Linked DNA regions of Elephas maximus indicus. The protein of the gene in region 3 interacts with the protein of the main gene of each other region in a pairwise test. Links are inferred from orthologs where the notes say so. Each region holds a gene or a part of one and is shown on either strand. Other genes may lie near its edges.

Region 1 (7,269 bases), on a different chromosome or scaffold from region 3:
CTCGCCATTCCTTTTATTCTTGAGTCCTAAAACGGATGTTTTTTCCCCATCATAACTGGGGTTTCATTCCTAACCAGCAGTAACAATTTTGACTTTGTTCTGGAAAACTTACAAGTACCTTATGATTCATTCTAAGTTTTCTGATAATGAAAAGAGGCAGTCTGCAGCATTTTTGCTGACCTTAACACCATACTCAGGACTGAAGCCATTCTTACAGTTCACGAAGTTCATGTTCTGCATTCTAGGGAGGTGAGTAGCGAGCGTCTGGGGTCTTAAAAGCTTTCAAGTAGTAATCTAAGATACAACTACTGGTCTCTACTTGTCTGGAGCAAAAGATAAAGAAGGAAACCAAAGTCTCAGAGAAGAAACTAGTCTACAGGGCTAACAGCCTACAAGGGCCTCGGCAGTATCTACCCTGAGGCCAGAAGAACTAGATAGTGCCCTGCTACCGCTACTGATGGTTCTAGGGATGCACCCTGATAGAATGGGAAGAAAACATGGAACAGATTGCAAATTCTTAAAAACTCCAGACTAACCAGACCAGTTGAGACCAGAGGACTCCCTGAGACTATCGCCCTGAGATTCTCTTTAAACCTTGAACTGAAACTATCCCAAGGTCACCTTTTAGTGAAATTGGCACACGAAATAAAGGATATTACCAATGATTACTGTGCTCCATTAAAAAACCATCTATATGGGACCCAAAGGTCAATAACTACTTTAAAGCAAATATGAGAAGATAAGGGGGCAGGGAAACTAGAGCACTGAAAACGGAACAACCAGAACGCAATTAGAGAGAATGTGGGTACATAGTAAGAAATGTAGTTAATGTCACTGAATAACCTGTACTGAAATTGTCAAATGGGAACCTAATTTGCTTTGTAAACTTTCACTGAAAACACAGTAAAATATAATTTTTTTAAAAGAGCTATTACAAAAAAAAAAGATTGAAACCATTCTCATTCTTCAAAAAGTAATTCATTTAATACTTTTTGAGCACCTGTGCCTCGCAATAGCGTGTGCTAGAGTTGCAAAGGTCCCTTCTTTCCCCAAAATCTGGTGGCGGAAATGCATACATAAATAACTACCAATGGACAAACGCTAACTGTGGAATGTACACTGTACTACTGGATGCAGTACAGAAGGACAAGTCTCTATCAGTCAAGACAAGCAGGTCGAAATGTCTGGACAGATCAGAGGAGGTATTTCAGTTAGGTCTTATAGGGCAAGTTGTTAACCAGGTAGAGGAGAAAAAGAGAATTCTCAACAGAGGGAACAGGGTAAGTTAAATACAAAAGAAAAGGTCTTCTGAGAACTGCGAGTAGTCTCGCATACAGAGGGCAGAAGTAATGGTAGAAGATAAAACTGGAATGGAGTGCAGGCATGTACCAGAAAAGGTGAAGGACTTTGAGTCTTACCAATACAGGCTATAGAGAGTCACTGAAGGACTTTTAAACAGGTAATCAAAGTCTCCCTCTTCCACCATACAAGGAAGTTGAGTAAAGGTAACAAGCAAAATGCAGGTCTGGATTTCAAAAGGTAACCCAGTGCTGTAGAAGAGTGATTTAAAAAGCGGGTGGGGCGGGGGGGGGGTGACACTTCCTACTCCCAGGATGACTTCTAGCAGCTTCTGACTATGGCATATTAATACAACATTGAACTAAGACAATACACACAGCTAAACGGTTCAAGAAAGTGTATGTTTTTATTCAAAGATTATTTAAAACATTAAAGAAAACAACCAAATAAGAAACAGTAAGTAGAGGCAAACAGTAATGAAGAAGGTGGACTTCAGGCCAAACATTCAAGAACGTTTGCATCCTTATCATATATTGATTACAAATAACAAGACATATTTTGTAAAGATCTTTTGCAAAGGAGAGTATCTTAAGGTTGAAGAAGAGCTGCCACCACTTTTTTTTTTAAAAAATGATGCTTCCAAAAAAGAAGGGGGGGGGCAAAATTAATAGGTTCCATTAATATTTCAACGCTCAGGGAAAAAAAAGAAAGGGAATGCCTTTTAAAATAGCTGTTTTCAAAAGGTTAACAACCCAATTATCTCACCCATAGGAATGAAACACTGAGATTCCAATCGGGGACCACGACGAGTCCAGCTATCAGTCGTTTCCAGACGGTTCAGGCCTAACCTGGGAACAGCAAGCTGAATTGGCTGGGTAGTCTACAAAGATGAATTTGCAATTATTGAAATTCAAACTCAAGCTCAGCCACCGAGGGACAGCTTTTCCAAGGAGTCATCCTTCCTTTCCTAATGACAAGAAAGTAGGTGCATAAAAACGTCCGTACAAAAACCGCAGGTGTCTACCAAGGAGCGAGAAAAGCATCCGTCCCTACGGCAGCACCGTGGTCCGCCAAAGTTTTACCTCGGGGTGTGTTCAGGGTGTGTCTTTGTTCGGGCCTAGTAATGAACAACGACGAGAGCCCCTGTTCGGGGCACCCCGGGACTCTCCTCCAGCAAGCCTCACAAGCATCCTGGCTCCGAAACCCCTGGGCACCGCAGCCGCGCCCCGTCTTCTCCTCAGAGAAAGGCGCTGCCCCGCGGCCCTGGCGCGCCTGTCACGGCCCGGGGGCGGGGGGCGTCCAGCCGGTGCCGCCGACCCCGCCCCGGCAGCTCGCGGGGCGCGAGGGGTAGCCCCCGAGGCGCAGGACGCCGCGCCGCCTCGCCCGGGGAACCGGCCTCCGCGCGCCCGGCCGCGCCCCCGGCCCCTACAGTCGCAGGCGCCCGCCCGACTCCGCCCCGACCCCGGCCCGCCTCTCACCGCGCAGAGGTCGCGCTGCCTCCTCCGCCGTGGCCGGCCTACGGGCCCCGGCGGCCCTCGGGCCCAAGGACGGAAGGAGGAAAGGTGCGGCGAGAGGCCGCCTGTCACATCCCGGCCGCCCGACCCGCAGCTGCCAGCAGCGCACCCGCGGCCTGAGGGAGCGCCAGACCGTGCCGCCGCGCACCCCTCACCGGCGCCCGCCCGGGCTCCGCCCTCGGGCCGCGCACCACGCGCGCACGCAGCCCTGCCCCTCCAAGCGCGCGCAGGCGCAGACCCCGCAGGCCGGGCCCCGCCCAGCCGCCCGCGCCGGCCTCAGCCCACCGCCGGCCTGGCCACGGGCCTGTCGCCTGCCTCCCCAGGCTCCGCCTCCTCCTCGGGCCCGCCCCTCCACTGACCTTGCCTCCCTGCCCGCTGACTCAGGTCTGCTGGTGGCCTGGGACTCCAGCCCGCGTCTGGCCCCACCCCCAGCCGGCCTCCCGGGCTGACGTTTGCTACTTGACGATGGTGAAACCTGTCAGTTCCACCTGCAGACCCGAAAAGTCGGGGGGGCGGGGTCTGAGCATCGGGATGAGATGAGCGCTCCCCAACCTTTGGTGAACTAAACATCCCCAACATTTTGTGCTTCAAGTCCATCCCTGTTCCCTGCCTCCCCGTGCTCCAGAGCATGTCTGAGCCCCAAACCCGGCCTGTCACGCCCACAAGCAGGACCTTGCTGAAATCCAGGAGAAGGGGCCCCGAAATGCTGAGATTTGGAACGACTCGCTCCAAATCAACCTGGGGACCAAGAACCAGGCCCTCCTTCTCTTCGGCACTTCCATCCCCCACTGGCTTGCTCCGAGGCTCCTTTCCTCCCCGATTGCCAGGCCTGCCCTTGAGTGCCCTCACCGGTCCAGCCGGCTGGAAGCCCTGGAGCTGTTCTGATCTGTGGTAGACTAGCTGCTCTCTGAAACCCTCACCGGCCACTTTAATCAACACTTTTGTCTCCACGATGAAGGGATGGAGGGCTATAGGACTGGGGTAAGGGGGCAGGTGTAATTTGTAAAGCTACATTTCATTTAGTAACATACTTTTTTTTTTTAATTGTGCTTTAGATGAAGGTTTACAGAGCAAATTAGTTTCTCATTAATCAATACACATACTGTTTTGTGACGTTGGTTGCCAACCCCACGACATGTCAACACTTTCCCCTTCTCGACCTCGGGTTCCTCATTTCCATTTCTCCAGCATTCCTGTCCCCTCCTGCCTTCTCGTCCTTTCCCCTGGGCTGCTGTGCCCATTTGTGCTACCAGGTCTGCACTGGATGTAATTACTTACCAGTGAGTGCAATTGAGAGAAGAGATCAGGTTACTCCATTATAAAGAGGTAGGAACAAGTAAAGTAGATTGAAAAGTAGGGGTGGGGGTGGGGGACAAGAGATTGTGGGGTTCTTGAGCCAAGGAAGAAAGTGTATCAAAGAGAAGAATGATCAATTGTGTAAAATGCTGCTGAGAGGTCAAGTAAGATGAGGGTTGCAAAAAGATGAGGGTTGATTTATTGGTATGAAGGTCACACAAGGGTAGTTTAGGTGTAGTGGTGGTGATAGGATACTTTGAGAATGAAAGAAGAGGGATTAGTGACAGCAAGCATGGTCAACTCATTTGAGGAGTTTTGCTGCAGAGAGCAAAAAAATGGTGCTGTGGCTGAGGGTGAAGAGTAGAATAAAAAAAAAATTGTTGATTTTTAAGGTGGAAGAAATAACAGCAGGTTTTATCCCTTGTATACTATTTCCTTTTTGAGGTGGTTTTTACCTTTCTCTCTTTCACTATTTTGTTTGGGCTGCTTTTTATGACAGTTGTGTGTGTGTGTGTGTGTGCTTTAAGTGAAAGTTTATAAATCAAGTCAGTCTCTCATACAAAAATTTATATACACCTTGCTTTATACTCCTAGTTGCTCCCTAATGAGTCAGTGCACTCCTTCCCTCCACTCTCTATTTTCATGTCCAATCGGCCAGCTTCTGACCCCCTCTGCCCTCTAATCTCCTCTCCAGACAGGAGCTGCCAGCACACTCTCACGTGTCTACTTGATCCAAGAAGCTCACTCCTCACTGGTATCATTTTCTATCCCATAGCACAGTCCAATCCCTGTCTGAAGAGTTGGCTTTGGGAAAGGTTCCTGTCTTGGGCTAACAGAAGGTCTGGGGACGATGACCTCCGGGGTCCTTCCAGTCTCAGTCAGACCATTAAGTCTGGTCTTTTTACAAGAATTTGAGGTCTGCATCCCACTGCTCTCCTGCTCCCTCAGGGATTCTCTGTTGTGTTCCCTGTTAGGGCAGTTACGAGTTATAGCTGGACACCATCTAGTTCTTCTGGTCTCAGGCTGATGTAGTCTCTGGTTTACACGGCTCTTTCTGTTTCTTCAGCTCATAATTACCTTGTGTCTTTGGTGTTATTCATTCTCCTTTGCTCCAGGTAGGTTGAGACCAATTGATGCACCTTAGATGTCCGCTTGCTAGCGTTTAAGACCCCAGACACCACTCCCCAAAGTGGGATGCAGAGTGTTTTCTTAATAGATTTTATTATACCAATTGACTTAGATGTCACCTGAAACCATGGTCCCCAGACCCCCGCCCCTGCTACGCTGGCCTTCGAAGCATTCAGTTTATTCAGGAAACTGCTTTTGGTTTAGTCCAGTTGTGCTGACTTCTATTATTGTGTTGTCTGTCCCTTCATCTAAAATAATTCTTATCTACTATCTAGTGAATACCCCTCTCCCTCCCTCCCTCCCCACTCTTGTAACTGTCAAAGAATATTTTCCTCTTTGTTTAAACTATTTTTCGAGTTCTTATAAGTGGTCTCATACAATATTTGTCCTTTCGCAACTAATTTCACTCAGCATAGTACCTTCCAGATTCCTCCACGTTATGAAATGTTTCACAGACTAATCATTGTTCTTTATCGATGCGTAGTATTCCATTGTGTGAATATACCATAATTTATTTATCCATTCATCCATTGATGGGCACCTTGGTTGCTTCCATCATTTTACTATTGTAAACAGTGCTGCGGTGAACATGGGAGTGCATATATCTGTTTGTGTAAAGGGTCTTATTTCTCTAGGATATATCCCAAGGAGTGGGATTGCTGGAACCTATGGTAGCTCTATTTCTAGTTTTTTAAGGAAGCACCAAATTGATTTCCAAAGTGGTTGTACCATTTTACATTCCCACCAGCAGTATATTAGTGTTCCGGTCTCTCCACGACCTCTTCAACAATTATTGTTATGTGTTTTTGGATTAATGCCAGCCTTGTTGGAGTGAGATGGAATCTCATTGTAGTTTTGATCTGCATTTCTCCAATGGCTAATGATCCTGAGCATTTCCTCATGTATGGGTTAGCTACCTGAATGTCTTCTTTAGTGAAGTGCCTGTTCATATACCTTGCCCATTTTTAATTTGGTTATTTGTCTGTTTGTAGTTGAGTTCTTGCAATATCATGTAGAATTTAGAGATCAGAACCTGATCAGAAATGTCATAGCTAAAAACTTTTTCCCAGTCTGTAGGTAATCTTTTTTTACTCCTTTGGTGAAGTCATTGCATGAGCATAGGTGTTCGATTTTCAGGAGCTCCCAGTTATCTAGTTTCTCTTCTGCATTTTAAGTAATGTTCTGTATACCTTTTATGCCATGTATTAGGGCTCCTGGCATTGTCCCTATTTTTTCTTCCATGATTTTTATCATTTTAGGTTTTATGTTTAGGCCTTTGATCCATTTTGAGTTAGTTTTCGTGCACAGTGTGAGGTATGGATCTTGTTTCTTTTTTTTTTTTTTTTTTTTGCAGATGGGTATCCAGATATGCCAGCACCATTTGTTAAAAAGACTGTTTTTTCCCCATTCAACAGACTTTGGGCCTTTGTCAGATATCACCTGCACATATGTGGATGGATTTATGTCTGGATTCTCAATTCTGTCCCACTGGTCTGTGTATCTGTTGTTGTACCAGTACCAGGCTGTTTTGACTACTGTGGTGGTATAATAGGTTCTAAAATCAGGTAGAGTGAGGCCTCCCACTTTGTTCTTCTTTTTCAGTAATTTTTTACTTATTTGGGGCCTCTAATTCCATATGGAGTTGTTGATTTGTTTCTCCATCTCACTAAAAAATGTTGTTGGAATTTGGATTGGAATTGCATTGTATCTATAGATTGCTTTCAGTAGAATAAACATTTTTACGATGTTCAGTCTTCCTATCCATGAGCAAGGTGTGTTTTCTCACTTAGATAGGTCTCTTTTCGTTTCTTGCAGTAGTGTCTTACAATTTTCTTTGTATAGGTCTTTTACATCTCTGGTAACGTTTATTCCTAAGTATTTTATCTTCTTGGGGACTACTGTAAACAGTATTGATTTGGTGAGTTCCTCTTTGATGTTCTTTTTGTTGGTGTAGAGGAATCCAACTGATTTTTGTATGTTTATCTTGTATCCCGATACTCTGCTGAACTCTTCTATTAGTTTCAGTAGTTTT
Region 2 (6,961 bases), on a different chromosome or scaffold from region 3:
GGGACCTCATACTACCAAGAAAGCAGTGCTGGGAGCAGAGTGCATCCTTTGGACCATGGGTCCCTGTGTGGAGAAACTCCTAGTCCAGGGGAAGATTGATGAGAAGGATCTTCCTCCAGAGCCAAGAGAGAGAGAAAGCCTTCCCCAGAGCTGATGCCCTGAATTTGGACTTCAAGCTCACTAGACTGTGATAAAATAAATTTCTCTTTGCTAAAACCATCCGCTTGTGGTATTTCTGTTATAGCAGCACTAGATGACAAAGACAGGTATAAAATATATTTCCTCTAACAAACATGGTATTGGCTAAAATTTACTGAGAATTCACCATGTGCCAGGAGCTGTTATAAGTGCATTACATGTATTAACTCATGAAAGTATCACAACAATCCTATAGGTAGGAACTACTGTTACCCCCTATTATGTATGCTTTTATAACATATAAGTCACCTATGTGTAAGTCACTATTATTTGTACTTCTGTAATGCTTTGTACACAGTTATGATGCTCCTTAAATACCTATATATGTCATTTATAATATAAAATTAGAAATAGAATTTCTGAACTTAGAAATGGAAACATGTATACACTGTATCTATGATGGTCTCTAACATTACCTGTAAGTCATTAGAAACATATGTCATTAGAAAGTCGTTCTAACCTTAGAAATAGAAAACAGAAGTTTGTGAAGTATGTAGTAAACAAGGACATAAATATGTCATATAGCAAACTCCATCATTTCTAATAAATCAAATCTCTGTAAATTGGCTTTGGGACATACATATATCATGTTGTTGTTAGGTGTCATCAAGTTGGTTCCAACTCATAGTGACCCTACGTACAACAGAACGAACCACTGCCCAGTCCTGAGCCATCCTTACAATTGCTGTTATGTTTAAGCCCATTGTTGCAACCTTTGTGTCAATACACCATGGACTGCTATACATATGTTATACACAAACCAAAAACACCAAACCCCTTGCTGTTGAGTCAATTCCAACTCACAGTCACTACCTTAGTCATCTAATGCTGCTGTAACAAAAATACCACGAGTGAATAGCTTTAACAGAAATTTATTCTCTCACAGTTTAGTAGACTGGAAGTCCAAAATCAGAATGTCAGTTCCTGGGGAAAGCTTTCTTTCTCTGTTGGCTCTGGAGGAAGGTCCTCGTCATCAAAGTCCCACTGGTCAAGGAGCTTCTGAGGCACAGGGATCATGGGTCTAATGGATGATGCACTTTGCTCCCCGTGCTTTCTTCGTAGTATGAGATCCCCCGTCTCTGCTTGCTTCTCTTTCCTTTTATCTAGTAAAAGGTGGTGCAGGCCACACCCAAGGGAAACTCCCTTCACATTGGATCAGACCTGTGACCTTAGTAAGGGTGCCACAATCCCACCCTAATCCTCATTAACGTAATCTAATCTTGCCTCATTAACCACAGGCAGAGATTAGGATTTACAACACACAGGAAAATTACAATCACAAAATGGAGGGCAACTAGGCAATACTGGGAATCATGGCCTAACCAACTTGACACATACTTTTGGGTGACATAATTCAATCCATGACACTGTCCTATAGGACAGAGTAGAATTGCTCCACAGGGTTTCCAAAGCTGTGATCTTTATGGAAGCTTACTGCCACATCTTTCTCCCACAGAGAGGCTGGTGGGTTCAAACTGCCGATCTTCGGGTTATCAGTGGAGTGCTTAACCACTGTGCCACTAGGGCTCCTCATGTCATACAACTATTTCCTTAACTGACAATAAAATATATTAACGATTCAAATCTCTGTATGGCCTTGAAACAAATATGTCACAATTCCTTTAATTGGCAATAAAACATACCAAGTATGGTTAAACATAACAGCACCTAACCCTTCTTATGAAATCAAGATAAAAAATACTGTGGATAAACCCTTTGATTTCTGCTCACCTCCTGGAGAAGAAAGCATGGACAAAAGGTCTCTCTGACTCTGGTTCTCTCTGAAGACCAAGAGCCTGCTGAGATCATACCCATCACAACCAACCTTGGACCCTGGCTATTGGGGACCTTCTCTGAGTTTGAGGAGTGGTCAAGTCTTTCTTCCTGAGACTACTCATGAAAGGCCTGAAGTCTAAAGATTTAGACTCTAACACTAATCGTTAATTCTGATTCTCCAGTGCTAAATGAATGTCTTGGGGTCTTAGGTGTGTGCCTTGTTATGACTACCTTGCAATAAACTAAACGAGTTTATGCATGACAAACCGGAGCATTTATTTATTCTTAAATTAAAAATCCTCCAGGACACCCCAGTTTTACAGATTAGAAAACTGAGGCAGAGAGAGGCTAAATGATTTTCCCAAAGTTGTATAGCTAGTGAGTGATAGAGCCAATATCTGAACCTCAAGGACAAAGGAATACCCTGGCTCCTCCCATACCTGAAGAACCACCTCTGGTCCTTCCTCATTCCTATAATGATTAAGAGAAGATTACTTTGTTTACTTGTCCCGATAAAAACCCTAGGTAATATCCTCTTATTTATTGCATTAATGAATGCCATAGCCTGAATAAAACCATTTCCTTAATTGTTCAGGTGCATGTTGTCTTTCTACACCAGTTTTGTATTGAACTGTGTTTCCCATAAAGACAGATGTGTTGAAGTTCTGTGAATGTGATCTTGTTGGGAAATAGGGTCTTTGGAGATGTTATCAGTTAACGGGAGCTCCTACTGGAGTAGGGTGGGTCCTAATCCAATATGACTGGTGTCTTTGTAAATAAAAGGGAAAGACACACACAAAGGGAAGGCGGCCATGTGATGACAGGCAGAGTGGAGTTAATGTTGCAACTGCAAGCCAGGAACGCCTGGGTCTACCAGAAGCTGAAAGAGAGACAAGAAGGAATTATCCCTAAAGCCTTCAGAGCCACGCAATTAAAAAAAAAAAAAAATTACCAAACTCATTGCCATCTAGTGGGTTGGGAGTCATAGTGACCCTCTAGGACAGAATTGCCCCATAGGGTTTCCAGGGCTGTAAATCTTTAAGGAAACCGACTGCCACACCTTTCTCCCCAGGAGCTGCTGGTGGGTTCCAATCCCCAACCTTTTGTTTAGCAGCCCAGCGCATCAATTAAAGGCCGGATCAACCAGTAAGCAAGGTATCCACGGGTTTAACTGTGTTTACTTACTCATCTGTAGTGCACATTTTCACGTGGGTTTCACAACGCCATGTGGTGGAAAACAGTGAAATCGTGCACTACAGATGAGTAAGTAAACACAAGTAAACACGTGTTTACCTTCCTTATTGGGTAATCCGTCCCTCTGGTCCTTCTTCATTCCTAATGATTCAGAGAAGATTCTTTTGTTTACTTTTTACCCTAGGTTGATATCCTTTTCTTTGAAAAGGTTGCTCTGCATAAAGCCCTGCAGACATCCTAAACTCGGATTCCTACCCTCTAGAATTGTGCGACAGTTAAGTTTCCCTTCTCACGAGCCACCCACTTTGTGGCACTTTTAAGGCAGCCTTAGGAAGCTACCAACAACGACCACATCAGGAAACTAATACAGTACCTTGGTAGAAAACATTTGCCGACCCCAGCTCTAGATGCTCAGCCCTAGTTCTGAAACCAGAATTTTCAGTATTGCTTAGAAAAAACTTAGAAATGCAAGTCTTCAGCCCCACCCAGGACTACCGCTTTGCCGTGGGGCTGGTCCGTCTCTTCAACATGCCCTCTAGGCAATTATGTTCACGTTATAAGTCGAGAACCACAGTTCGCGGCGCTGTACTTTATCAGACCGGTGAAGGTGCATTGCTAACCTCGGCAGACGCGCTGGAAGACCCGGCGGGCCGCCGCCGCAGCCTACTCTGAGCGCACTAGGACCGCGGCGGCGTCAGCCTCGCAGCCGCCGTCATCGCCCGGGGCGGGGCTCCGCTGTGCGGGAGCAGGAGCTTCATTCCTCGGCCCGCCCCTGGAGGCGGGTCCAAATTGACTAACTCTGGGTCTAGGCAGCCCGGCGGCGTCCTCCTAGGTACGGCGTTTTCCTAGCTAATGTCACTCGGACTCCGGGCTCGTCGGTAAGTGGGGACGGGTATCCCGCGGCCCCTCACTCGCCATCTGGAGTCGCCAGCAGCGCTGTGGGCGCGGGGATCCCGAGGTGCCCGCGAGGCGGGTCTAGGGGTGTGGCGACCGAGCGCTTTTGTTCTGCGGGGAGGACGGAGCCCCAGGCCGCGGGCCTCGGTCTCCCACGCGCGTCCGACCCGGGCCGCCGCCCCGAACCCTGCCCGCCTGCCCGCAGCGCTCGCCGCCTGCCGTCGCCTGGGCGGATCCTGGCCCGCTGCCGACGCCGGAGCCCTCGACCCGAAGGGCGGTGCCTTGCTGCCTGTTTTCCTTGAACTGTCCGCCTTTTTACGGTCGAGGTCGCGGGTGGCGAGAGCGGGTACTCATTTTGTTCAACTATAGGCGGTTGGTTAGGTGGCTGCGTGTTTTTGAAGTTGCGTATGTTTTTAGCGAAAAGGAAAAAAAAAAAAAAAAAACCTTTGTTTTGCGTGTAGTAATCCTCGAGATCTTTCCTCTTCCCCCGCGCCCTTTATGCTGAAACCTCCCTAAACAGAATTGCTCCGCTTGCATCTCCGAGCGGCCCGCGAACGCTTCGGTGTTAGAGATGCTTTCTGTCCCTCTGCAGTAGTTCCGCGAGGCATTTTTAAATGCGTAAATGCATACCCTTTTTAGGTGTTCTTCAGGGACGCGAAAATGTCCTTAGGGTCCTGAGTTCAGCATCACGCTTTCTGGGAATTGTGTTGGTGTAATTGTATGCTTTCAGTGCCTGCCTTCAAAATAAAGAGATAAGCAGGTGATGTCTTTGAGCTTGGGGGCGAATTTTAGTAGGCGGATCGCGCCGCTTGTTTGGGGCTTTTTAAGTTTCTGCTAAATGTGTTAGCCGTAAATCATGTGTAAGTTTTACCCAGTAAATGTTAACACGCACTATGTTAAGGTTTTACTTACTGATTTGTTTCCTGTACAATCTGGCTCTCTTAGTAAACCTGTTAAATGTTCAAATTCAAGCCATAAATTTTGGCTAATCGCACAGTAACCCCGGACATTCTTCCAGGGCTGTTTTTCAGAGCTGCGCAAAATTTGTACCAGGTGTCCTGGGTAAGGTCAGGTTGTCTCTAGAGACAACCTACTCTCAGACGCAGACTCTGGAATGCACTAATTGGGACCTGAGAGCCTAGCCTGGTTTATATCAGTTTGACTGTCCTTCTGATCCGGTGAAGCAAGCCAACCAATCATTAAACAACCCAAACCGGACAGTAATCAATGACTTATCTTTCCAAACTATTGTAATCCCTCCCCCCAAATTAAAGACCTTTTCCTTAACCAATTACTTAGAACTTAGTTTCCTCACTGTCTTTAAAACCTTTCCTTGATTTCCAAAAAATGAGCTTCACGTGTGTTAGGCACTGAGTTAAATTAATCACTCAATAAACCTTGTTCAAAGATAAATAAAATTGCTAGTGTAAGTGTGTTTATTTTGGAAAGATAGGACAATGGTGGACCTGGAGGAACACCCAAGAATTACAACCTAAAAAGTGAGTGGTATTTTGAGGTCAGACCTAATTTCTACTCTTGATACTTAGCACACGTAATAAGAATTTCAATAAACTTGCTAGATGGTGTTAAACATTTTTATAGGGGCAAGAGTTAAAGTGGCTTCCCTGGGTCAACAGCCAAACAAATTAGTCATAAGGTCACTTATAAGAAACAATTTCACACAGAATCTGAAACATAGGCAAGTTTTCCTTATTATCAACATGAGTTAACAATCCTTAACAGTGTGAGTTAGCAACATTTATCCAATCAAGATAAGCCAGTTTCACATTCAGTGACCAACTTTCTCAAAACAAAAGGAAAATTAAATGTGACTAACCAATTAAACGGTAAGATACCCAAGCTTTAAAAGGGCTTTGTAACTCACCCCCCTCGCCATTTTCAGTTTGGGCTGCTCTTGTACAGTTTCTCAGTCAATAAAACCAAACCCATGGCCACAGAGTTGATTCCGACTCAAAGTGACCTTAAAGAACAGTAGGACCATCTCATGGGGTTTCCAAGGAGTGGCTGGTGGATTTGAACTGTCAGTCTTTGGTTACCAGGCAAGCTCTTAAGCACTACACCACCTGGGCTCCCCCCACTCGGTAAACCCTGCTAACTCTAATTGACTTGTTAACCAAATTTTTGAACAGGTGCAAACTTAGGTAACCCAGTTATCAAATTGCAATGTCAAGTCATGTAACATTATCGTGTGGCTCTTATTAATTATAAAATGTCTGTTGTTTATTCTTAGGACCAAGTATATGCTTGGAGGGGGATTGACTTGTCTGGAGGGAAACAGGAATAGACAATAATTGAATGATAAAATTGTTTTTAAAGGTAAGCATGTTACCTCTGAGAAGTCTACAGTGATTTAACCAAGTGATTATTCACACTCTACTTAGGTAACAGCCCCCTAAAATTTAAATCTTTGGGGCACTTGACTAAAGGATGGCTGCCTCTGGGCCTGAACTCAAACTTCATTTTGAAAAAGCCTGCTCTACTCTAAGAAGTTAACCTTTAAACAGAATTAATCTGGTATCTAAGGAAATGTTTTCTTTTGTAATCAAGCCATGCAGGCCACTCCCAGGAACCACATTGTATGAGAAAGCTATGTTAGCAGAAAAGAATGTCCTGTGATTGTGTTGTAACTACTCTGTAAACCCCCTATAGTCACCTAGTGGTAACTAATGAACAAAGACTTTTTAAGTCAATCATGTAAACCCACATATGTTGTGTTCATCAATTACTGTAAACCACCTCCCCACCCTGCTTTCCTTGATCCACCTTTGACTTTTACAAATCACTAGTAAGCCAATCAGAATATTGTATTGTTAGTTCCTGGTTTAATAATGTAAACATTGCCTAGATGCCTGTGACCTCTTAGAGAACATAGTTTTAT
Region 3 (6,927 bases):
GGTATGCCTGACCCAAGCCATGGTGTTTTCAATTGCTTCATACGCATAATGCTGGACAATGAATAAGGAAGACCGAAGAAAAACTGGCACCTTTGAATTGTGCTGTTGGCGAAGAATACTGAATACACCATGGGCTGCCAAAAGAACAAACAAATCTGTCTTGGAAGAAGTACAACCAGAATGCTCCTTAGAAGTAAGGATGGCGAGACCACATCTCACATACTTCAGACATGTTATCAGGACAGATCAGTCACTGGAGAAGGGCATCATGCTTGGTAAAGTAGGGGGTCAGTGAAAAAGAGGAAGACCCTCAACAAGATGGACTGACACAGTGGTTGCAACAATGGGCACAAGCATAGCAACAACAGTCAGGATAGCACAGGACCTGGCAGGGTTTCATTCTGTTGTACACAGGGTTGCCGTGAGTTGGAATCGACTCAATGGCACCTAACAACAACAATATAGGCCACTTAAGAAAGCCACATATCTGTGCTCACTGACTGCATTTTAAATATCGAAATTCATCCAAACCTGGACTTTCAATGCTGCTCGGCAATTCTTTAACACTTACACTTCCTTTAATGCTTCCTTTTCCCATCTGCCATCACTGTTGTCACAAATCTTTACTATTTCTGATTTAGACCCCAAATGGTGTGGGCCCCCTCACTCTCCACAGATGACTGTATCACTGACTTGCAGATAATATAGAGGCCATGAAGTATAATTCTCCCCAATTGCTTTTGTCTCCATCTTTCTACATCTTCACCCATCCTAACCTCTTTTTCGCCTATTACAAAATGCCCATTACTAATCCCTTAATATGTTCCAGGGCCTAAACACTTGCTCACAAGCTCTACTCCACCCTACACCACGTCGAACACTGGCCAGTTTACTTTTCTATATCTGGGCTTATGCTCATGCAATATCTTTTTCTTTTCTCCTTAGGAAATTCTAACTCCCCTCTTAAGATCATGCTAGACTATTACCACCACCACCACCCCAAAAAAATTCCTCTTCTACTTCCCTAACTCTCTACTACACTAGCACAGCACTTACCAACTGTATTTTCCAGCTAGCTACATTCTCTTCTCTTCTCCATTAAAAGTAGCTCTTTATAGGTAAGGATCATGTCATATTCGTCTCTGTATTCCTAGAACTTGGCAAAGGGCACTTAGTAAGCATTTAAGAAATACTTAAATCAACTAAAATGATAGCACTAAATAATTTAACAACTACGGCTTCCAAAAAGTTCCCTCTTTCCAACTCTCACACCTGTACGCAAATGCCCAGGTTTAAAATCTGCCCTATTTGATTCCTCTCCTCCACTCTCAACATCTGTCACCACATTTTGTTACCTCCCCCCCCCGACACACATAATTCATGCCTTCCTTTCTGTTCCCATTCTCACCACACTAAACCAGACTCACATCATCCATGATATTTAAATACTATAGCATCAGGCCATCTCTTTGCAAACTTCCATAACCCCCCAAAACTCCAATAAGCAGATAATGTTAAAACACAGCTTCATCACACCATGCCCTCATTCAAGATTTTCCTAATGCTTCTATATCCGAACCTCCTACTCCAAGTTTCAGGCTTTAAATCTTCACTTAGGTGCTTTTCCATACAGGGAATGTAATTACACTTCAGGGTTTTTATGATGTTGACTCAGTAAGGATCTTAAGTACAAATTGATCTCTACTCTCAATTTCAGTTGCACTTAATAAACAACCAAGCACTGGCTGTCTAATTGGTTCATGACATCATACGCTCCTGGATCTGGAGAACTCTTTTAAAGAAAAAATAAAAAAAAGGAGGGGGAGAGAGAGGGAGACAAACACACACTCTATCAAAGTGTTTTGAATTCATAGTAGGTACTCGACAAACACCTCTTGAGCCATCTAAATTGATTAGTAAAAACTGGTCAAATGAATGACTAATAGTGGCCAACATTTACCACATGATCCCTCTTTGGCCAAAAGCAAGGACTCAATGCATGGTAAATGGTAAAACAAGAGAGGATTGGGTATACCTCATAAAGATGTTAGACATAAATGAAAAGCACTGTGGGGCCCCTCATTCGGTCAGCAAATACTGATGCCTATGAAGGGCCAGGTATCTCTCTATTGAACGTGATAAACACGTTCATGAAGACACGAAGACGCCCCTGTCTTCGTGGCATTTACATTCTAAGAGCTAAGTAACCTACTCTCCACTTTACAATACTTTCTGGAAGGCAGTAAATAAATCATTACAGGTTCTCTAAAATTATTTTCCAGCTCTAAGAACCTGTGTCTGACTATGTTCCAGAGGCAGCCAGCCACTGCATACTCTGTGTTTTCGTTCTTGTTTCCTTAAATTCAGTTGGACCATTCCACTCTGTGGTGGGCTTGTGGTGACAGCTTGTCAGTGAGCGTCCATGTGGGTGGAGCCCCGCATGCTGTCGACACACTTTAGCGCGTGGAGTGCCGTCATGCAGTGAAGAGAACGGCATACCAAGACAGGAATGTACTTAAGAAACTTAGAAGAAAATATAGACTTAGGGAGAAAAAAAAAAAGAGAGAGCGGGGAGACACTGCCACACCCTCCTTTCCCGTCCACTCCAAAGCTCGAACAATCAAGGATAAAAATGAAATCTGGTCCCCAAAGGCGGAGCCGGAAACGGATGTGTGAAGATTGCCTTCTCTGCTCCACTTTCTCCCAGACCCCAGGCCAAGTGGGGGAAGCTCGGCCCAGACTTTGCGCCCTACACAGCGACGCCGGGAAAAGAAGGAGGGACTGTCGTCGGAGGGAGCTGTGCCCTGACCCCGGTCGCCGAACCAGCAGTGGGAAAGAGGTGCCGCCTCAGGCCCTGGCGCCCGCCCGATCGTCTGCCTGCCGCCGGGACTACGGGGCAGCCGCGACCGAAGGCTTACCGCAGGACAGTACCGAGCCCGGCTGCGCCGAGGCGGGCCCTCCAAGACCGAGACAGCACGCGGCAAGGCGGCGACCAGTACTGGAAAGCTCCCCTCAATTAAGCGGTGAACGGGAAGCAGCCGTTTCCCTACCACTTCCCATATCCGGGCACGTGACAAAGCTCCGAGCCGGAAGTCAACCCTGTAGAGGAGGAAAAAACGGAGGGAAAAAGGGAGTGGCCAATAGACGCAGGGGCGTGGCGCCACCGGTGGGGTGGGGCGCGGCGGGGCAGGGCGCGGCGGGGCGGGGCTTCGCCGGAGGAGTTGCGCCAAGGAGGGTCAGGGACCCGGCCGCTACCGCGCGCTGACTTGAAACGGCAGGCTTTGGTGCCGCCCGATGTATTACTTTTGAGAAGAATTATTTACTCAGATGTTTCAGCAATTCGTTTAAGAGGGTATCAGCTGAAGTGTTTTATTTTTTGCGTTTGTGATGCTTAAGTCTTGTTCCTGGCTACTTAAAAGCGTGGAGAGTTTAAATGAGTTAAAACTCTGGAGATGCGACCCAGATACTAGCACTTTCGATAGCTCCCAGATTATTCTAAATACACCTTTAAGGGCGAGAATCATTGCTTCGATGACTTTGCTACTCAAAGTACGGTCCGCGGACCTGCTGCATGGGTACCATTTGGGAACTTTTTAGAAAAAGCAGCCTCTTTGGCCCACTTCAAATGTACTGAATCGGAATCTTCATCTTAAGGGGATGACTCCTACGCACATTTACATTTGAGAAGCACGGGTGTTGCCAGTGTTGCTGGTGGGAAGGCAAATGATTCATTGATTCCATATCCCTGGCACCTGTTTTAAACCAGACAGGTTGATACCAGGTACAGAGGTGATTCGGACATGAATCCTGCCCTGAAGGAGTTCAGAGTATGGTAGGACAGACAAGATGTAGATATAAATAAATATAAAAAAGAGGATACAAAATAAGTGACTGAAGAGAGGTACAGGTCAGATAAGTGTGCTGGAAGTTCAAAGGAGCATGTCGTTGCAAGTTGCTGTAGAAATCCATTCATGCATGTGTTCGTTTATTTAATAATCAATCTTCGGCACTGTGTTAGGTGCTAGAGACACAAAGATAGGGATCCCACCCACAAGGGGGTCATACTATCATTGGAGAAAAACCCTTAAAAACCCGTTGCCGTTGATTCGATTCTGACTTATAGTGACCCTATCAAATAGATGCATAAATTGTACCCTAGTGAGATAAACCCAACAACAAAGGAAGAAAAAAGAGATGAAATACCGTGTGTCTTAGTTTCTTGCTGTTAGGTGATTTTGAGCTGGTTCCAATGCCTAGCGACCCCATGCACAACAGGAGGAAACAGTGCCCAGTTCTGTGACACCCTCCAATCTTTGCTATGTTTGAGACCATTGTTGCAGCCACTGTGTCAATCCATCTCATTGAAGGTCTTCCTGTTTTTTTGCAGACCTTCTGCTTTACCAAATATGATGTCTTTCTCAAGGGACTAGACCCTCCTGATAACATGTCCAAAGTACACGAGAAGAAGGCTTGCCATCCTCCTTTCTAAGGAGCATTCTGGCTGTACTTCTAAGACAGATTTTGTTCATTCTTCTGGCAGTTCATGGTATATTCAGTATTCTTCACTAATGCCATAATTCAAAGGCATCAATTTTTCTCCCGTCTTCCACATGAGGCAATTGAAAATACCATGGCTTGGGTCAGGTGCACCTTAGTCCTCAAAGTGACATCTTTGCTTTATAGCACTTTAAAGAAATCTTTTACAGCAGATTTGCCCAATGCAATGCATTGTTTGATTTCTTGACTGCTGCTTCCATGGGCATTGATTGTGGATCCAAGTAAAATGAAATCCTTGCCAGCTTCAATCTTTTCTGCATTTATCTTGATGTTGCTTATTGGTTCAGTTGTGAAAATTTTTGTTTTATGTTGAGGTGTAATCCATGCTGAAGGCTGTGGTCTTTGATCTTCACCAGTAAGTGCTTCAGTTTTCCTCACTTTCAGCAAACAAGGTTGTGTCATCTGCATATTGCAGGTTGTTAATGAGTCTTCCTCCAATCCTGATGCCAAGTTCTTCATATAGTCCAGTTTCTCAGATTATTTGCCCAGCATACAGATTAAATAGTATGGTGAAAGGATACAACCCTGATACACAGTTTTCCTGGCTTTAAACCACACTCTATCCCCTTGTTCTGTTGGAATGACTGCCTCTTGGTCTATGTACAGGTTGCTCATGAGCACAATTAAGTGTTCTGGAATTAGGGTTTATAACACAATTTTGGGGGACACGATTCAATTCATAACATTGTAGATATGCAAAAGAGGTAGTAATTCATTCTGCCAGGGACGGATTCACTGAGAAAGTGACAAATCAGCTGTGCAAAATGTCTTTCATTATTTATCCGAAGATACTATTTGGTGGGAAAAACCACAGAAATTGTAGAGATCCGTTTGTTATTGAAAATAATATGGTCTAATCAATGCTGCTTGGAATCTTTTCACTTTCATGGAATGACTTCCGTTTCAAGAGTGTGATCTCTATCGAGTCCTTTCTGTATAAAAACGCCTCTGTCCCTGCTTAGTCAATCTCCAAACACTTACTGTGGACACTCTTTATGTGACAATTGCATGTGTTACTTCGTTCTATTTTCTATCTTTTGTTTACCTGTATGGTTACAGCCCTCTCAAAGCAGGGAAATGAATTGTATTTCACATTTATTTATGTAGTCTGAACTTCTTTCCTGAATTCCGGATTTGTATATCCAACTGCCCCCCTGACATTTCCATTTAGATATCCAGTAAGTGCCTCAGGCTCACTGCATACCTGGGTGGTACAAGTGGCTTGCAATCAGCTGCTAACCTAAGGGTTGCACCTGAGAAGAAAGGCCTGGTGATCTGCTTCTGTAAAGATTACAGCCAAGAAGACCCTGTGGAACAGTTCTCTTGTGTAACACATGGGGTCACCATGAGTTGGAATTGACTTGACAGCAATGAGTTTGTTTTTTTGGACTAATAAAATCTGACACTTAATGTGTACAAAAATGAAAGCCTTGTATCTCCTCTTCCTCCAAAAGTAGAGGCCAAAACAAGAACTTATGTGTTAGTAGTTTATTTGGGGGTATGAACCCAGAGAGCACGAATGAGGGAAGGAGGAGGGTACGTGAAACAAGAATGAGTAAAGTCAACATAAGGATGTGTTATTGAGTTGGCTAACAGCATGTTGGAATGTTTTCTTGATCCTGTATGACCTTCTATGAAGTCTTGTGAAATGAGTCTCTGAACTGTCCAAATGGGGGAAAAAATAGAAGAAGGTTTTACCTGTTGGCTCTGGTACTCCTTTATCAAAGGATAATGCTCCTGGTCATCAACTACACCACACTTCCAAAATGCACAATTGTGAATGTCACACTGGCTTCCACATCAGAGAAGTCCTAGGGCAGGAAGCGAGAGGAGAGGTGCTGTCACGTTACACTTGCTGAAAGCTCATCAAACCTTGCTCAGAACAGGTAGCTGGAGCAGTGGTTGAAATAAGAGACTGAAGAGATTTGAAGTAGTGCACAGAGGGTGTCCATTTCAGGCCATTTCTTACACCATTCAGATCTGCTTGTGCCCTCCATTAAGTCTATTCTCTCACAGAGGCTACTTCAGAGTGGTGGCCAGCCACGATTCCTGCAAGGACTTAATACAAGAGAGTTAATACAGGCTTCAGTCCCTGCTGCTATGCTGATGCCAAGGGCAGATGTACATTTTTTAACTCTCTCCTCCTCTATCCATCCTAACTTCCCCTCACCCTTGGCCAGCATATCAACTAATCTAGGTTGCTTCCCTGGTGAGGTAATCCAGACCTTTATCTTTATTTTCCTTACTCTGGTTGGGCCATGGTTGCTGCAGTTGCCTTCAACTTATCCTTGAGTACAAAACACCAAGATAAGCCCCAGTGAATTTCTTGGATACCAGATACGGTACTGTCTACTGTTACTGTGTAGCAAA
Region 4 (7,472 bases), on a different chromosome or scaffold from region 3:
ATAATGATAGCTGCCTACTGTTTTCTCCATTTTAGATGTGAACAAAGGCCTCCTGAATTAAAGGACTTGCCATAAGTGACAGTATCTAGCAGCAGAGCCAAGAAAAGAATTTGGTTTCATTATTCCAAATGGTTCCTAAATTTCTGACATCCTTTAGAGGGAGGAACATTTTATTTAAGCTAATATTTTTCATGAGTGGGGATACTGAAGAACAACGAAGAACTGAACAAAGAAGAAAAAATGAGCAAGACTGAATTTAGTCTTCACAGTGTGCCTTTTTTAATTTGTCTGAAGATCTTTGAAAATTCACTCATATTCAAACTATTAAAACGAATCCATGATGAAATATCAGAGAAAATATCACTGAAAGATATAAGCCAGGCACAAAAGAAAATATACTATAAACTTCCATTTACATGAAGTTCAAAAACAAGCAAGACTCATCCATGATGAAAGAGGTTAAAATAAGGGTCACCTTTATGAGGATTAATGACTGGGAGGGGGCACAAAGGCACCCTGGGGGGGGCTGGAAATGTGTATTTTGATCGGTGTGGTGGTTACACAGGTGTATACATATGTGAAAATTTATCAAATGGTATAGTTGGATTTGTAGATTTTATTCTACTTAAATTATACTTCCTAAAAAAGAAATAAGTTATAATTTTTCAGATTGTTTTGAGCACCAATCATTCTCATTTGCCAGAGGACTACAGGGAAACATCATATACACATCTGTTATTTTTAGCCCCTAAGATGTGACAGAATAACTTGTTTTCTTGTGTGTGTATGTAGATATCTATCTATATATGTGTGTGTGTATATATATATTTTTTAAACTTGACATTTGAAAATAATTTCAGATTTAACCAGAAAATTCACATTGGCACTATTAACTAATCCACAGACTCTATTCAAATTTTGTCCACTGCCCTACTAATGTCCATTTTCTGGACCAGGATCCAATTCAAGAACACACATTACTCAGGATCCTACAAGACGCAGATGCCAAGATGGGATTAAAACCCCACAGATTTTATGAGGGAAAATGGGGAGGTAGCTGGTAAAGAGTGGGAGAGCCTCAGACTTCAAGTCTGACACTGAGTGAAGAAGGGAGGGAAAGCTAGGTAGATGCCTCTTAGACTGCCATGTAGTCTGAGGAAGGCTCTGCAAGACCTCCAATGAGTTCTTGATCCAATTCCTTGTCTCCCAGGAACAGGTCTGCTTTAGTATCATGACAGAAGCCCGTGAAAAGTGTTGCCTCCACGCAGAAGGATTTCAGAGTGCAGCAGCTGGGGCACTTGACCAATTACAGTTCAAGTATATTTTCAGGTTGCCAAGGTTGTCATGTCTCCTTTGTCTCCTCTAATCTGGGACAGTTCCTCTGTTTGTCTTTGCCTTTCTTTTCAACACCTTGACATTTCTGTAAAAATACTCTTCAGTTATTTTGTTGAATATTCCCCAATTTGGATTTGTCTGATTAGACTGCCGTTATGTGTTTTGGGCAAGAATAACACAGAAGTGACGACGTGCCTTTCTCAGTGCATCAGATCAGGAGATAAACGACGTTGATGTTACGACCAGTGACGTATCACTAATTAAAATGGTGTCTTACCAGGTTCTCCACTGTAATGTTACTACTTCTCCTTGTAAACTGTAAGTATCTCGTGGACAGATACTTTGAGGTTATGTAAATACCCTGATTCTCATGGTACTTTTGCCCACTTAGTATCCATTGATGACTCTGGTCTAGAACAATTACTGTGTTCATCAAACAGAGATTGTCTATTTTCACTATTTATTCTACACTTATGAATTGGAATTCTACTTAAGGAAGTTTCCCTGTTCTCCCATTATTTATTTATTCAATTACTTATTCAAATCAATATGGATTTTTTAACTCTAAGTATTATTGCTATCCAATAACAGGGATGATTCTACTTACCTTGCAAGATTTTGTTCTGAGGATTAAATGGGACTGCAGCATAAAGCCCCTGGTTGATACATGGTAATCATTCAGTTAATAGCAGACTTAGATGTGGGTTCAAGACTAACAGTGCAACTTACTAGCAAGAAGACAATGACCAAGTCACTTAGTCACTTTGGGTCTGTTTCCTAATCCGTATTACGGGGATAATAATAGTTACCCCAGCAGGTTGTTATGATGATTGTGACTTAATGAATGTGAAAATGCCTACTACATTCTAAGCATTAAAGGCTCAGACGTTGGCCATTGTTTTAAAATCTCGGTTCGTGACAGGGCTGAATACATGGAAAATTTAAAGTGGCAGACACCAAAACAGAGCACACTCGCTGCATGAAACGATTCCAGGCAAGGCTCTTAAATGGCTACCGAGTTTCAGGCCATGCTCACAGCGATCTGGGGGAAGGGTAGGCAAGATGCACGGCCAAGTGTCTGCAGCAGCCGCGGAAGTCCTCCTGGCCATCAAGCGACCCGGGAGACTGCAGGGCAAACCCACGCGATCCCTCCCCGCACCCCGGGAGGGCGCACAAAGCCACAAGCGTGCAAGACTGACGACCAGCCTCTCGCACTAAGCTCGTGGACCTGAATCGGGACGTGCCTCCTGCCCCGGCGCTCTTTGCAGCCGCCAGCCCGACCCGGGCCAGGGCCCGCGACTTGCCGAGGCCACCGCGGGGCGCGCTGTTAGCTCCGCGGCCCTTTCATGGAATCCCCTCCTGCCTAAGCACACTCACAGCTCCTGGGCCTCTGGAAGTCGTGCACGCCCAGGACTGCGGGGAAGCCGAGGCGTCACTCACCTGAGAATGGGGAGCCGGAGTAAGAAACGGAAGCCCAGAAGCAGCAGGACCGAACAGCCACGGCCACTCAGCCTCCAAACAGCCGTTTGTGCGCCTGCGGGGCGGCCATCGCCGAGCCATCGTCACTTCCGTCATTCAAACCGCCCGCCAATGGCGGGACCACACCGCGGGAATCGGCCAGGTCCCGCCTCCCCCGGGGGCCGCCGGGAGGGCCGCGCCGAGTTAAAGCCTCTCGTCACGCGCACGCGCGCAGTACCACGTGCCTGTCGTCACTACCACGTGCCAGTCACTACCACGTGCCAGTCACTACGTAAAAAAAAAAAAAAGGGGGCCCATTATTTCTCATCGGTACGGCGGCTTTGAAGTTTTCTGCCTCAGGACGCTTATTTCATCAGGAGGTGGAGATTTAGAAAAGTGAAGTCATTCGTCCAGAGCCATGAAGTCATAAAGCCCCACCATGAAGATATCTTGGGATATATCTAACTTTACGTATTGAGTACACAATTCATTGGCACTGTAATACTGCAGGAAACCCTGGTGGTGTGGTGGTTAAGTGCTACACACTACAGCTGCTAACCAAAAGGTCGGCAACTTGAATCCACCAGGCGCTGCTTGGAAACTGTATGGGGCAGTTCTACTCTGTCCTGTAGGATCGATAAGAGTTGGAATCGACTCGACCTCAACAGGTTTGTTTTTTTGTTTTATTATACTGCAGTTTCTGATAACTTTCACTTCAGGCCTCCAACCTATATAACAGTGAACCGTATCATGTTGCTTTGCCTCCAGAAGTCCCAGACACCAAGAACATGCCAAGGATTTATCTGTAGTAAATAACCTATAACCCAGAGAGGAGGTGAGCACAGGTTCATATTTATTGAGCACCTACTTTTTTTTTTACTATGTGCCAGGAGCCCTGGTGGTCAAGGGGTTAAGCGCTCAGCTGCTAGTCAAAAGGTTGGCCAGCTGCTCCTTGGAAACCCTATGGGGGCGGTTCTACTCTCCTATGGTGCTGAAAGGAGTCTACTTGATGGCAACAGGATTAGATGGTATGGAGCCCTGGTGGTAAAGTGGTTAAGAGTTCGGCTGCTAACCAAAAATGTCAGCAGTTTGAATCCACCAGTTGCTCCTTGGAAGCCCTGTAGGGCAGTTCTACTCTGTCCTATAGGGTCATTATGAGTTGGAATTGATGGTCTGGCACTGGGTTTGGTGGTTGTGGATTATGTCCCAGGAGGCCCTGGGTGATGCAAACAGTTAAGGCGCTTGGCTGCTAACCCAAAGTTTGGAGGCTTGCATATACCAGGAGCCACCTGGGAAGAAAAGCCTGGCAATCCATATCTGAAATTAGCCACTGAAAACCCAGTGGAGCACAGTTCTACTTTGACATACATGGGGTTGCCATGAGATGGAGTCAGCTCAATGACATCTGGTTATTACGTGGCAGGTACATTGTGCTAGGTACAGGGAGACAAATGGAAAATGATGAAATGGAATGTAGCACCATTCTCCTAGCTCTTGCAGTATAGGAGTTTAAAAAAAATACCAGGAATCAGAGAATTAGAAAACAATGGCAGGGAGGGTGCTGACATGATCAGATTCTGGCTACATTGTGGAAAAGAGGTCAGAGGGTGAAGATTGAAGGCAGGGAAACCAGTTAGGGTACTACTGCAGGAAGTGAAAACTGATAGCATTGAGAATAAACAGAAGTGGGTAAGGATGGAGAGACATGGTAGATTTAAGAGGCAAATAGGCTAAGCCTCAGGATTTGGTAGTTTCCTGGTTATAAGAAGCAAAGAAAAGGGAGAAGTCTAGGATGATGCCTAATTTCCATAGTAGGCAATTGGGCAAATGGCTGTGACATCATAGAATATCTAGGAAGGGGAGCAAGTTTGAGAGAGGGGAGTAATGAGTTAAGCTTTGAATATTTTGAATATGAGCTGTTTATGGAATATCTAGACAAAGGATGAAGGATGTTTCTTATCTATTGCTGCTATAACAGAAATACCACAAGTAGATAGCTTTTACAAAGATAAATGTATTCTGTCACAGCCCAGGAAGCTAGGAGTCCGAATTTCGGGTTCTAGCTCCAGGGGAAGGCTTTCTCTCTCTGTTGGGTTTAGGGGGAAGTCCTTGTCATCAGTCTTCCCTGGTCAAGGAGCTTCTCAGAGCAGGGACCCCGAGTCCAAAGGACGTGCTATTCTTATGGCTCTTGTTTCTTGATGGTATGAGGACCCTATGTCTCTCTGCTCACTTCTGTCTTTTATATCTCCAAAGAGATTACTTAAGGTACAACCTGATCTTGTAGATTGAGCCCTACCTCATTAACATAACTGTTACTAATCCCACCTCATTAACATCATAGAGGTAAGATTTACAACACATAAGAAAATCACATCAGATGACAAGGGTGGACAATCACAGAATACTAGTCAAGTTGACACACATTCTTTGGGGGACATAATTTAACCCATAACACTCCACCTTTTGGCCCCCCCAAATTCATGTCTTTGCCACATATAAAACACATTCAGCCCATCATACAGCAAAAGTCTTAGATCAAGTCCAAAATCCAAAAATTCGCCTTCATTTCTTTCATCTGTGAAATGTGGAATAGAAGTTATCTGCTTCCAAAGTACAATGGTGCAACAGGCAGGCACAAGCTAGTCATTTCCATTACAAATGGGAGAAATTGGAGGGAAAGAAGGCATAATAGACACCAAGCAAGTCAGCAGAACATGTTACATCAGCTCTGAAGGCTTAAATATAATCCTCTGTTCTCTGAGATTATTTTCACAATGCCCCAGCCCTCCAGACTCTAGGTATTGGCCACACTCTCAGGATTCTGTGTGGAGGCCCCTCTGCCCTGGGCTTCAGCTCCACCTTCTGGCCCACTGGAAGGGCAACACTGTTCCCTTGTGTTTGGGTGACACCATTCTTCTAGTTCATCTGAGTGTCAACTCTACCCTTTGAGACCCCAGAGTTTGTAGCCCTACCTTGTGAGACTGAGCAAGCTTTGCTTCCTGTGTTCCTTGTCTCTTCAGCTTCTGCTTCCTGGTTCCTTGACCTCTTGGCCTCTCGGACCTTGCTGCCAGCCAGCGTCTGCCCAGCTCAGGAAAGTATTTCAAAGCTCTGTGGCTCCACTGATAAGTGCCTGGAGGCACTCCACTCTGCCAGTACACTTCAGCTGGAAGGCATTCAGCTCTCTTGCTCTGTGGGTCAGTGTCTTAGTCATCTAGTGCTGTCATAACAGAAATACCACAAGTGGATGGCTTTAACAAAGAGAAATTTATTTTCTCAGAGCCTAGTAGGTTACAAGTCCAAATTCAGGGCGTTGGCTCCAGGGGAGGGCTTTCTCTCTCTGTGGGCTCTGAACAAAGGTCCTTGTCCTCAATCTTCCCCGGTAGAGGAGCTTCTCAGGCACAGGGACCCCACGTCCAAAGGACATGCACTGCTCCTGGTGCTGCGTTCTTGGTGGTATGAGATCCCCAACTCTCTGCTTGCTTCCCTTTCCTTTTCTCTCTTGAGAGATAAAATGTGGTGCAGGCCACACCCCAGGGAAACTCCCTTTTCTTTGGATCAGGGGTGTGACCTGGGTAAGGGTGGTGTTACAATCCCACCCTAATCCTTTTTAACCTAAAATTACAATCACAAATTGAGAACAACCACAGAGTACTGGGAATCATGGCCTAACCAAGTTGACACATATTTTTGGGGGGACACAATTCAATTCATGTCAGTTGGCAAGCTTAGCTCCACCAATAAGTACTCAGAGACATCCCACTCTGCCAGGAAGCTTTCTGTGCAGAGGCACTCAACTCTCACGTTGTGTCATGGGTAAGCTCCAGCACCATCTCACACTAGTCTCTTCATTCTGCTGATGCTGTTTCTCTGCTACTGCTTCTTTCTGTCTGCACCGTCTCCAGTGTAACAGCTCTACTCACTTTCTTCTGAGTCCTCACCAGAATTGTCTTTGATGTCCATAATTCCACCAAGAGTCTCTTCAAGGCAGTCTAGGCTTTTACTATTAGGAGCTTTAAAACTCTATCCATTCACAGTTTCAAAACTACTTCCACATTTTAGGTATCTATTAGAGCAGCACCCTACTCCCAGTAAACAAATTCTCTCTTAGTTATCTAGAGCTGCTATAACAGAAATACCACAAGCGAATGGCTTTTACAAAGATAAATGTATTCTCTCACGGGCTAGGAGTCCAAATTTAGGGTGCTAGCTCCAGGGGAAGGCTTTCTTTCTTTGCTGGCTCCAGGGGAATGTCCTTGTCATCAACCTTCCCTAGTTGAGGAACCTCTTAGCACAGGGACCCCAGATCCAAAGGATACACTGTTCTCCTGGCTCTTGTTTTTTGGTGGTATGAGGTTCCCACGTGTCTCTGCTCACTTCTCTCTTTTATATCTCAAGTGATGGGCTTAATACACAACCTAATCTATTAGATTGAACCCTGCCTCGTTAACAAAACTCACTAATTCCACTGCATTAACATCATATAGGTAGGATTTACAACACATAAGAAATTCGCATCAGAAGACAAAATAGTGGACAGTCACACGATACTCGCCAAGTTGACACAGATTCTTTCGGGGACACAATTTGACCCATAACAGATGTATTCCAGAAACATTTAAAAAGGCGAAATTAACAGTACTTGAGAAACAATTGAGTGTGAGATTGAGGGGAAGGGAACA

What was found.
Region 1: the proteins of EXOC1 (region 3) and CCSER2 interact in a two-hybrid assay, tested with the Homo sapiens proteins (2 studies listed by BioGRID and IntAct). The link is inferred for Elephas maximus indicus from reciprocal best matches to the Homo sapiens genes EXOC1 and CCSER2.
Region 2: the proteins of EXOC1 (region 3) and RESF1 interact in a two-hybrid assay, tested with the Homo sapiens proteins (2 studies listed by BioGRID and IntAct). The link is inferred for Elephas maximus indicus from reciprocal best matches to the Homo sapiens genes EXOC1 and RESF1.
Region 4: the proteins of EXOC1 (region 3) and CEP295 interact in a two-hybrid assay, tested with the Homo sapiens proteins (2 studies listed by BioGRID and IntAct). The link is inferred for Elephas maximus indicus from reciprocal best matches to the Homo sapiens genes EXOC1 and CEP295.

The regions. Positions count from the first base shown.
Region 1 is NC_064826.1:125,879,973-125,887,241, forward strand, and holds the start of CCSER2 (serine-rich coiled-coil domain-containing protein 2), read right to left. Parts: upstream 3,016-7,269; 5' UTR 2,778-3,015; intron 1-2,777. UniProt on the Homo sapiens protein: Microtubule-binding protein which might play a role in microtubule bundling.
Region 2 is NC_064822.1:90,450,760-90,457,720, forward strand, and holds the start of RESF1 (retroelement silencing factor 1), read left to right. Parts: upstream 1-3,952; 5' UTR 3,953-4,046; intron 4,047-6,313; 5' UTR 6,314-6,399; intron 6,400-6,407; exon of another isoform or gene 6,408-6,961. UniProt on the Homo sapiens protein: Plays a role in the regulation of imprinted gene expression, regulates repressive epigenetic modifications associated with SETDB1.
Region 3 is NC_064823.1:105,280,786-105,287,712, forward strand, and holds the start of EXOC1 (exocyst complex component 1), read right to left. Parts: upstream 3,009-6,927; 5' UTR 2,919-3,008; intron 1-2,918.
Region 4 is NC_064825.1:27,305,295-27,312,766, forward strand, and holds the start of CEP295 (centrosomal protein of 295 kDa), read right to left. Parts: upstream 3,005-7,472; 5' UTR 2,911-3,004; coding exon 2,776-2,910; intron 1-2,775. UniProt on the Homo sapiens protein: Centriole-enriched microtubule-binding protein involved in centriole biogenesis.